2 linked regions of the Oryctolagus cuniculus genome follow. The protein of the gene in region 1 interacts with the protein of each later gene in a pairwise test. Links are inferred from orthologs where the notes say so. Each region holds a gene or a part of one and is shown on either strand. Other genes may lie near its edges.

Region 1 (4,394 bases):
TTTCCAGCTTATACAATCTCTCTGCTCTTGCCCCCTCTCCTGTTCTCCGTGTCTGCCTAAAACTCCTCTTATTGAAGTTTTGGTAGATTTCAGGAAGGAGCAAAATGTGATACATAAATGCAGATAGGTTACATTAACTCACTACTTATGGGTTAGCAGGACTAGAAAAACGTGATGAAAACTAATAGTGGCATTTTCTTTTTTTAAAAAATATTTTATTTATTTGAAAAAGTTACAGAGAGAAGTAGAGCCAGAGAGAGAGAGAGAGAGCAAGAGCTGTCCTCCATCTGCTGTTTCACTCCCCAAATGCCCGCAATGGCCAGAGCTGAGCTGATCTGAAGCCAGGAGCTGGAAGCTTCTTCCAGGTCTTCCACATGAGTGCAGGGGCCCAAGGACTTGGGCCATCTTCTACTGCTTTCCCAGGCCATAGCAGAGAGCTGGATTGGAAGAGAAGCAGCCGGGACTCGAACTGGGGCCCATATGGGACATAAGCACTACAAGTGGTGGCTTTACCCACTACACCAGAGCACCGGCCCCAGTAGTGGCATTTTCTAAGGATCTGAATTAAAATTAATCATGCTGAGCAGAAAACAATTTTGAAACTGTCATATTTGTATACTCCCTAAAACTTTTTAAAAAAAGATTTATTTATTATTTGAAAGGCAGAGTTAGAGAGAAGGAGAGAGGGAGGGAGAGAGAGAGAGAGAGTGCACGAGAGAGAGAGAGAGAAGACAGAGAGAGAGAAAAAGAAAGAGCGAGAGCGAGTGAGAGAGAGAGTGAAAGAACTCATCCATTGGTTCACTCCCCGAATGGCTGCAATGGTTGGGACTAGGCCAGGCAGAAACCAGAATCAGGATCTCCATCTGAGTCTCCCATGTGTATGCAAACTTAAACCATCTTCCACTGCTTTTAGCAGGGAACTGGGTCAGAAGTGGAACACCTGGAACATAAACTGGTGCTCATATGGGATACTGGCGTCACAGGCAGCAGCTTTACCCACTGTGCCACATAGCCAGCCTCTAAAACTTTTTCCAATCATGAAATATATTAGAGAGCCATATTCGGGGACATTCTACTTAGTGAAGATGCAAAAAGTACGCACCCTCCCTAACCTGACCACTGGGCATCTTGGGACAGAACTAAATGGTGGCCCCAGGACAGCATGCGCTCTCAGTAACACACACGTTTCCTTCACCACCGCCTCTGTCTCCCAGCACCAACCTCCTTCCTTGATGTGCTGTGGATTCAAGACCAGACACTAACAATAGCTCCTGTCTCCTACGTTCTCTGAAATTTCTCTACGGTCTCTCCTCACCAAGATCTAACTGAAACCTTGCTTTCCCAATGAAAATGGTGACTACTTTCTCTCCCACCTTGTCATTCCTCATAGGATAGCTGTCCTCACCAGGGTTCTCAGTGATCCTGACCTACTGGTGTCCACACCCTGAGTAGTTGAATCCCTCAGCGAAGCGGAGCCGACCGCTGGACTCCAAGAGAATGCGGTGTAAGTGACAGCGTGGAACTTCCGAGGTTAGGTCATAAAAGGCAGGCTCACACGTTCTGAGGGAAGCCACTGCTTGGCCATGAAGACTTGAGCAGCCCCATGCAGAAACCCATGTGTGTGCTGAGCCCCCAAACCAACAGCCAGTGCCAGCTTACTGGCCAAGTAAGTGAGACACTTTTTTCTTTTTTCCTTTTTATTTAAGATTTTTTAAAAATTTATTTGACAGGTAGAGTTACAGACAGTGACATAGAGAGACAGAGGGAAAGGTCTTCCTTCCGCTGGTTCACCCCCCAAACGGCTGCAACAGCTGGCGCTGCGCTGATCCGAAGCCAGGAGCCAGGTGCTTCTTCCAGGTCTCCCCATGCGGGTGCAGGGGCCCAAGGACTTGGGCCATCCTCCACTGCCTTCCCAGGCCACAGCAGAGAGCAGCTGGACTGGAAGAGGAGCAACTGGGACTAGAACCTGGTGCACACATGGGATGCCAGCGCCACAGGCAGAGGACTAACCCAGTGCGCCACGGTGCCGGCCCCACTTTTTTCTTTTTTAAGATTTTTATTTTCATTTATTTATTTGAGAGGTAGAGTTACAGACATTGAGAAGGAGAGACAGAGAGAGAGGTCTTCCATCCGCTGGTTCACTCCCCAGATGGCTGCAATGGCCGGAGTTGTGCTAATCCAAAGGCAGGAGCCAGGAGATTCTTCTGGGTCTCTTGCATTGGAACAGGGGCCCAAGGACTTGGGCCATCTTGAGCTGGATCGAAAGAGGAGCAGCCAGGACTTGAACTGGTGCCTATATGGAATGCCGGCATCGTAAGTGGAGCATTAACCTACTTCGCCACAGAGCCAGCCCCATGAGACACTTTGGAAGAGGGTCCTCCAGCCTCAGTCAGGCCTGATGACTGGAGCAGCACACTACTACTCAGGGCAACTTCATGGGAGACAGAACTCCTGACTCAAACTGCTCCAACCACAGAAACTATGAGAGAAAACTCATGATGGTTCTTCCTTCCAGTTACTCTGGTTTTGGGTGGTTTGCACGAAGCTCCAGTAACTAGAGAACTGATTAGATTTACACACCCTTAATCCTAATACTTTTCATTGTCCTTCACACTCTTTTTTTTTTTTTTTAAAGATTTGTTTTATTTGAAAGGCAGAGTTTCAGAGAGGCTGAGGCAGAAGATAGAGAGAGAGAGAGAGAGAGAGAGAGAGAGGACTTGCATCCGATGGTTCACTCCCCAAATGGCCACAACTGCCAGAGCTGGGCAGATCCGAAGCCAGGAGCCAGGAACTTCTTCCAGGTCTCCCACACAGGTGCAGGGGCCCAAGGACTTGGGCCATCTTCCACTGCTTTCCCAGTCCATAACAGAGAGCTGGATCAGAAGTGGAGCAGCTGGGACTCGAACCGGCACCCATTTGGGATGCTGGCACTGCAGGCGGTGGCTTTACCCGCTAAGCCACAGTGCTGGTCCCCCTTCACACTCTTAAAACCTTACTTTGCCTATATTACAGGGACAATCATTATTGCACACACTTGCATGCATACTCATCACTCTTCCTCCTTCTGTGATTTACCATATTCACCTGGTAAAAACCAATCCTAATTAAATCCAACTTTGTTGATTCTGTATTTGCACTTATGCAACTGCAAAAGACAACAAACCAAAAAACACCACACACAGCTGTGCAGGCCAGTTTCACTTTATTCTTTTGACCAGTTATAGTAATTTTAAAAGATTCATTTATTTACTTGAGAGGCAGAGTTACAGAGAGAGAAGTTTTCCATTGCTGATTCACTCCCTAAACAGGCACAATGGCTGGAGGTCTGCTGATCTGAAGCCAGGAGCCAGGAGTTTCTTCCAGGTCTCCCAAGTGGGTGCAAAGTCCCAAGGACATAGGCCATCTTCCACTGCTTTCCCAGGCCATGGCAGAGAGCTGTATCGGAAGTGGAGCAGCTAGGACTTGAACCGGCACCCATATGTGATGCCAGCACTGCAGGTGGCGGCCTTATCCACTATGCCACAGCACCGACCCTGAATAAATGCATCTTTAAAAAAAATTACCAAATAGCAGTATACTCTCTTTTAAATACATTAATTGTTGATATTTTGCTTTTCTGTTGCCTGTAGGGGCCCAAGCACTTGGGCCATCTTCTACTGCTTTCCCAGGTCATAGCAGAGAGCTGGGTTGGAAGTGGGGCAGCCAGGACTCCAACCAACGCCTATATGGGATACTGGCACCGCCGCCGGCTGCTTTAACAGATACACCACAATGCCAGCCCCAGTATTTGTCTTTCTTAAAGCATCTGAAAGGAAGCTGCAGATATTATGACACTTCTACAACACTTCAACAACAATTTTCTAATAGCCACTCTCCAACATAACTACAAATTATTAATTATACATAAGTGAATATCAACAAACTTATCGACGGTTCATTAGTTATTCCACAGCATCCGCTTTAATATACAGTTCAATGTTTCTCAATTGTTCCACAATATCTTTCTTTTTTTTTTTTTAACTTTTATTTAATGAATATACGTTTCCAAAGTACGAATAGTGGATTACTATGGCTTCCCCCCCATACCGTCCCTCCCACCCACAACCCTCCCCTTTCCCACTCCCTCTCCCCTTCCATTCACATCAAGATTCATCCACAATATCTTTCATAGCCGTTTATTTGGCGGGCGGGGAGTGAAGGGAATAACCTTTTATCATTAATTTCAATCCTTTATACAAAAGGACATGACTTCCCTCGCAAGTCACTTTTTCGCACATTGAAGCAAAACACATTTCATAGCAGCTCAGAAGTTTGAGGTTGCGAGATTAAATTCAATCTGACCTCTAGTAAAGATTGGTGTTGAGGCTAGCAAAGTTAATAGCCATCCTCAGGCA
Region 2 (4,538 bases), on another chromosome or scaffold:
CGACCCCGAAGGCGGGAAAGAGAGCACGAGAGGGAGGTGCGCTGTCTGTACGAGGAGCTGGAGCAGCAGCTTCGCCAGCAGCGCCAGCGCCTTCGCACGCAGGTGGGCGCGCGCCCCGTCCCCCCCCCCCCCCGGGTCCCCGACACACCTGCTGGGCTTCCCGCGTCGCCCCGCCCCGCCCCGCCCACCGCGCACCACGTGGCCAGCGGAGGCTCAGGTGCCCGCGCGTTCCAGAACCCGCCGCGGGAGGAGTGGAGGGGCCGCCTGGAGGTGGAGCTGCAGAGCTGCGAGCAGGAGCTGGAGCGCGCGGGGCTGCGGCAGCGGGAGGTGAGCGCGCAGCCCTCGCCCCTCCCCAGCGCTCCTGGCCCTGCCGAGGTCCCGGGCCCCGGAACGGGCGGGCGCGGCTCCCCGGGAAGCGGCGGGCCTTCCTCGCCAGCCTCCGCCCCCGACACCCGCAGCTGGAGCAGCAGTTGCAGGCCCGCGTCGCGGAGCAGCTGGAGGCGCAGGCCCAGAACGCCCAGCTGTGGCGCGCCCACGAGGCGCTGCGGGCGCAGCTCGAGGGGGCGCAGGAGCAGCTTCGCAGGCTGGAGGGCGACGCGCGGGGTCGCCAGGAGCAAACGCAGAGGTGCGGCGGGCGGGGCAGGCGCGGCCCCGGCCCGGGCCACTTCCACCCCCCAGGGCCTGCGGGGCAGGGGAGGGGTCTCCCCAGCGGTCCGCCGCATCCAGGCCGCCCCTCCCCGCCCGCAGAGACGTGGTCGCGGTGTCCAGGAACATGCAGAAGGAGAAACGCAGCCTGCTGCGGCAGCTGGAGCTGCTCAGGTGCGGGCGGGCGCCACGCAGCCCCGGCCCCTCCGGGAGGGCAGGGACCCCTCCGACCTCGCCTTCTGCCTTCCCCAGGGAGCTGAACACGCGGCTCCGCGACGCGAGGGACGCCTGTGAGGCCCGGCTGCTGGGCCCCGGCCGCAGGAAGGCCCCGGCCACCGCCTGCCCGCCCGGGCCCACGCTGGGCGGCTGGACTCGTCCCCCCAGACGTGGCTCCGGCCACCTTCCCAGTGCACGCTGACCGGCCCGAGCCACGCACAGGGCGTTAGCGGGACAGGGCGCGCCTTGAAGCCCTGCGGGCGCAGGGGCCGAGTAGGGGTTGGGGGGCAGTGGGGCGTCTTCCTCCTGTCCGCATCGGTGTCCAGCGGGGAAAAATCATAAAAACTGCCAAATAAAGTCCAGGGACTGCACTGCCTCGTCCTCGGCGTCGTGCAAGTGCGCGGTACCTGTGCGGGGCACGTGGCCCTGGTGCGGGGCGGGGGGCTTCCGGCCGTGGGTCGTCACCCGAGCCCTCACCGTCCCTTCCGTGGGACCTGGCGGCCAGTGGAGGTTCCCACGCTCACCAGCCAACCCCGAGTGCGTTTCCCGGCACGCAGCCCTGCCAACCGAACTGACAGACTGACAGACCCCCGGGGGTGGGGGCCCAGACGCACCGGCGCGAAGCCCCCTCACCCTCCCCCGCCCCGGGCCGGCCTCGGTTCTGCCGACGCGGGGAGGCCGCCGGATCTCGCCGCTGTCGGGGACCTCCGCGCGGTGGTCTCTGCCTCCTTTCCAGCCCCTCCGCAGCCCCGCTTCCCTCCGCCGAGGCCCGCACTTCGCGAAGCCGGCTCAGACCTGCCTGGCGCTGTCTGCGGGCCGCGGGCGTGGCCCCGTCCAGGGGGCGGGGCCCGGCGCCGCGGGCGTGGCCGCAGCTCGTGTCGGGGGCGGGGCGTCTCGCCAGCGGCCCCTGCCGCGCATTCTCCGCTGGAACCGCCGCCCCCGCAGCGCCGCAGCCCGGGCCGACTCCGACGCGTGGCCGGTGAGTGCGCGGCCGAGCCGGGCCGAACGAGCGAAGCCGATGGCCCGCAGCCCCTGCGCGCCTGGTCGCGGGGCCCGGCGTTTGCGCGCGGGAGGCTACGCCCGCCGGACGCGGCCGCAGGCCCTTCCGGGGGAGCCCGGCGCCAGGCGGTCGGGGTGGGGGAGGCGCCTCCCGAACCCTGGGACTGGCGGGCGTCCCCGCCGTGCGCGGAGCCCTGAAACTCCCAGCCCGAGCGCCCCACGCAGTGTCTCCGACCCCGGCCCCTTCCCTCCGCCCGCAGGCCCACCCCTGCCCTGTGCATATGGGCGGGCCCCGGCCCCAGCGGTGACCTCACCGCAGACTGCGCCCGAACCCGCCAGCTGCGGAGCCCCGGAGCCCCCGCACTGGGGCGCGGGAGAGGCCCGGGACGGCTCTGCGCGCGGCCGCTGTATCTATTTCTGGCCACCCAGGCTCCCACGCTCCTGTCCCCGGGGGCTCACGGCCACCAGCCGTCCCTGGAGGGGCCGCCCTGCCTGGCCGGGTGGCGGGGATCCGGTCCAACCCCAGTAGCCTCACAAAGCCTGGGGCCTCTGAGTCAGCCCCAGGGGCACAGCTGTGCGTGGCCCCGGGAGTTGATGCGGGGAGTCTGAGTTCCCCAGCGGCGTGGGTGGAACTTGGGGGGTTGTGCCCCGCTAGCTGCTCTTTCGTGGGCGGAGGGCATGGGTGGGGCGAAGCCCCTCCCAGGATCGGACTGTCCGAATGCCTTTTCTGCCCCACCCTTGTCCAGACAAAAATACCGGGCCTGGCCACTGCTGGCCAGTTTTCCCGGGGGCCCTGGCCACGGCCTTGGTGGCTAGGAGGCTGGGGCAGGGTTCTGCCTGTCCGCAGGAGCCAGGCCAGTAACCTGTTACCTGCCCTGCAGCCCAGCTTCTTGGGAACTTCCGCCCACCTGTCCCAGAGACGTTGTTCCCGCCGCAGGTGAGTGCTGGGCGGGGCAGGAGGTGAAAGTGCAGCTGGGCTGCCCGTCTGCAAACCTGGCCCCGGGCGCCAGCCCCAGTCTGCGCCCGCAGGCCTCTCCCGGTGCCCCCCCAGCCCCAGTCTGCGCCCGCAGGCCTCTCCCAGTGCCCCCCAGCCCCAGTCTGCGCCCGCAGGCCTCTCCCAGTGCCCCCCAGCCCCAGTCTGCGCCCCCCAAGCCCCAGTCTGCGCCCGCAGGCCTCTCCCGGTGCCCCCCCAGCCCCAGTCTGCGCCCGCAGGCCTCTCCCAGTGCCCCCCCAGCCCCAGTCTGCGCCCGCAGGCCTCTCCCAGTGCCCCCCAGCCCCAGTCTGCACCCGCAGGCCTCTCCCAGTGCCCCCCAGCCCCAGTCTGCGCCCGCAGGCCTCTCCCAGTGCCCCCCAGCCCCAGTCTGCACCCGCAGGCCTCTCCCAGTGCCCCCCAGCCCCAGTCTGCGCCCGCAGGCCTCTCCCAGTGCCCCCCCACGGGGGGGGAACACCTGCCCTTCTGCTGACCCTCCAGCTCCTGCGCCTCGGTGAGGGTGGGCAGAGCCCTGTCCCCCGCCCCTGGGGTGCCTCTGCGGGCCCCTGTCCTGGGCCTGCAGCCCGCGGTGGGGCCGCGGGCAGGAGTGAGTCAGCAGGAGCCCTTGCCGGGTCCTGGGCTCCTGAGCCCTTCTCCCTGGGAAGTGACTCATGTCCTGTCTGCCCCCTGCGCCCGGGCATCTCCGGGTCCCCCGGCCAGGCGTGTGCCCGGGCCTCCGACCTCCCCCGCCAGCCCCAGGATGGGCGAGTTCAGCGAGAAGAAGGCCACGTGTGGCACCGTCTGCCTCAAGTACCTGCTCTTCACCTACAACTGCTGCTTCTGGGTGAGCAGGGGGGGCTGCCCGCGCCACCCGCCCCCCGCGCCCGGCCCCGGCCCGGCCTGACCCGGCACGCTGTCCGCAGCTGGCCGGCCTGGCCGTCATGGCCGTGGGGGTCTGGACGCTGGCCCTCAAGAGTGACTACATCAGCCTGCTGGCCTCCAGCACGTACCTGGCCACAGCCTACATCCTGGTGGTGGCCGGCGTCGTGGTCATGGTTACTGGCGTGCTTGGCTGCTGCGCCACCTTCAAGGAGCGGAGGAACCTGCTGCGCCTGGTCAGCGGTGGGGCCCCTGGGGGTGGGGTGGGGGGCTGCGCCCGTGGGGTCCGCCCAGAACGGGGGTGTCTGTCCCCTAGTACTTCCTCTTGCTGCTGCTCATCTTCCTGCTGGAGATCATCGCGGGCATCCTGGCCTACGTCTACTACCAGCAGGTGAGGGCTGGGGGGGGCAAGGCAGCGCCGCGGCTCACAGCGGGCCTGGGGGGGCGGGGGGCAGGCGTCCGGCCCCGCCCCCGCCCCCCCGCCTGACCTGGAAGAGCTGCCCCCCCCAGCTGAACGCAGAGCTGAAGGAGAACCTCAAGGGCACCATGACCAGGCAGTACCGGCAGCCAGGCCACGAGGGAGTGACCAGCGCGGTGGACAAGCTGCAGCAGGAGGTGGGTGGGGCCCAGGGGGGGCCTGGTGGCCGGGGCGGGCGTGGCGGCTCAGCCGACCCTGCTCTCGGCCCTGCAGTTCCACTGCTGCGGCAGCAACAGCTCGCGGGACTGGCGGGAGAGCGAGTGGATCCGCTCGAGCGAGGCCGGGGACCGCGTGGTCCCTGACAGCTGCTGCAAGACCGTGGTGCCCAACTGCGGGCAGCGGGACCACGCC

The links.
Region 2: the proteins of GRAMD1C (region 1) and CD151 interact in binary tests that used the Homo sapiens proteins (3 or more experiments, as listed by UniProt). The link is inferred for Oryctolagus cuniculus from reciprocal best matches to the Homo sapiens genes GRAMD1C and CD151.

Annotation. Positions count from the first base shown.
Region 1 is NC_091435.1:69,831,083-69,835,476, forward strand, and holds the start of GRAMD1C (protein Aster-C), read left to right. Parts: upstream 1-1,531; 5' UTR 1,532-1,603; coding exon 1,604-1,666; intron 1,667-4,394. UniProt on the Homo sapiens protein: Cholesterol transporter that mediates non-vesicular transport of cholesterol from the plasma membrane (PM) to the endoplasmic reticulum (ER).
Region 2 is NC_091432.1:348,028-352,565, forward strand, and holds the start of CD151 (CD151 antigen), read left to right. Parts: upstream 1-1,686; 5' UTR 1,687-1,840; intron 1,841-2,741; 5' UTR 2,742-2,797; intron 2,798-3,550; exon of another isoform or gene 3,551-3,583; 5' UTR 3,584-3,590; coding exon 3,591-3,674; intron 3,675-3,753; coding exon 3,754-3,945; intron 3,946-4,025; coding exon 4,026-4,100; intron 4,101-4,219; coding exon 4,220-4,324; intron 4,325-4,400; coding exon 4,401-4,538. Other genes in the region: CRACR2B (EF-hand calcium-binding domain-containing protein 4A), read left to right, coding at 12-102, 235-327, 459-625, 748-819, 898-1,063. UniProt on the Homo sapiens protein: Structural component of specialized membrane microdomains known as tetraspanin-enriched microdomains (TERMs), which act as platforms for receptor clustering and signaling.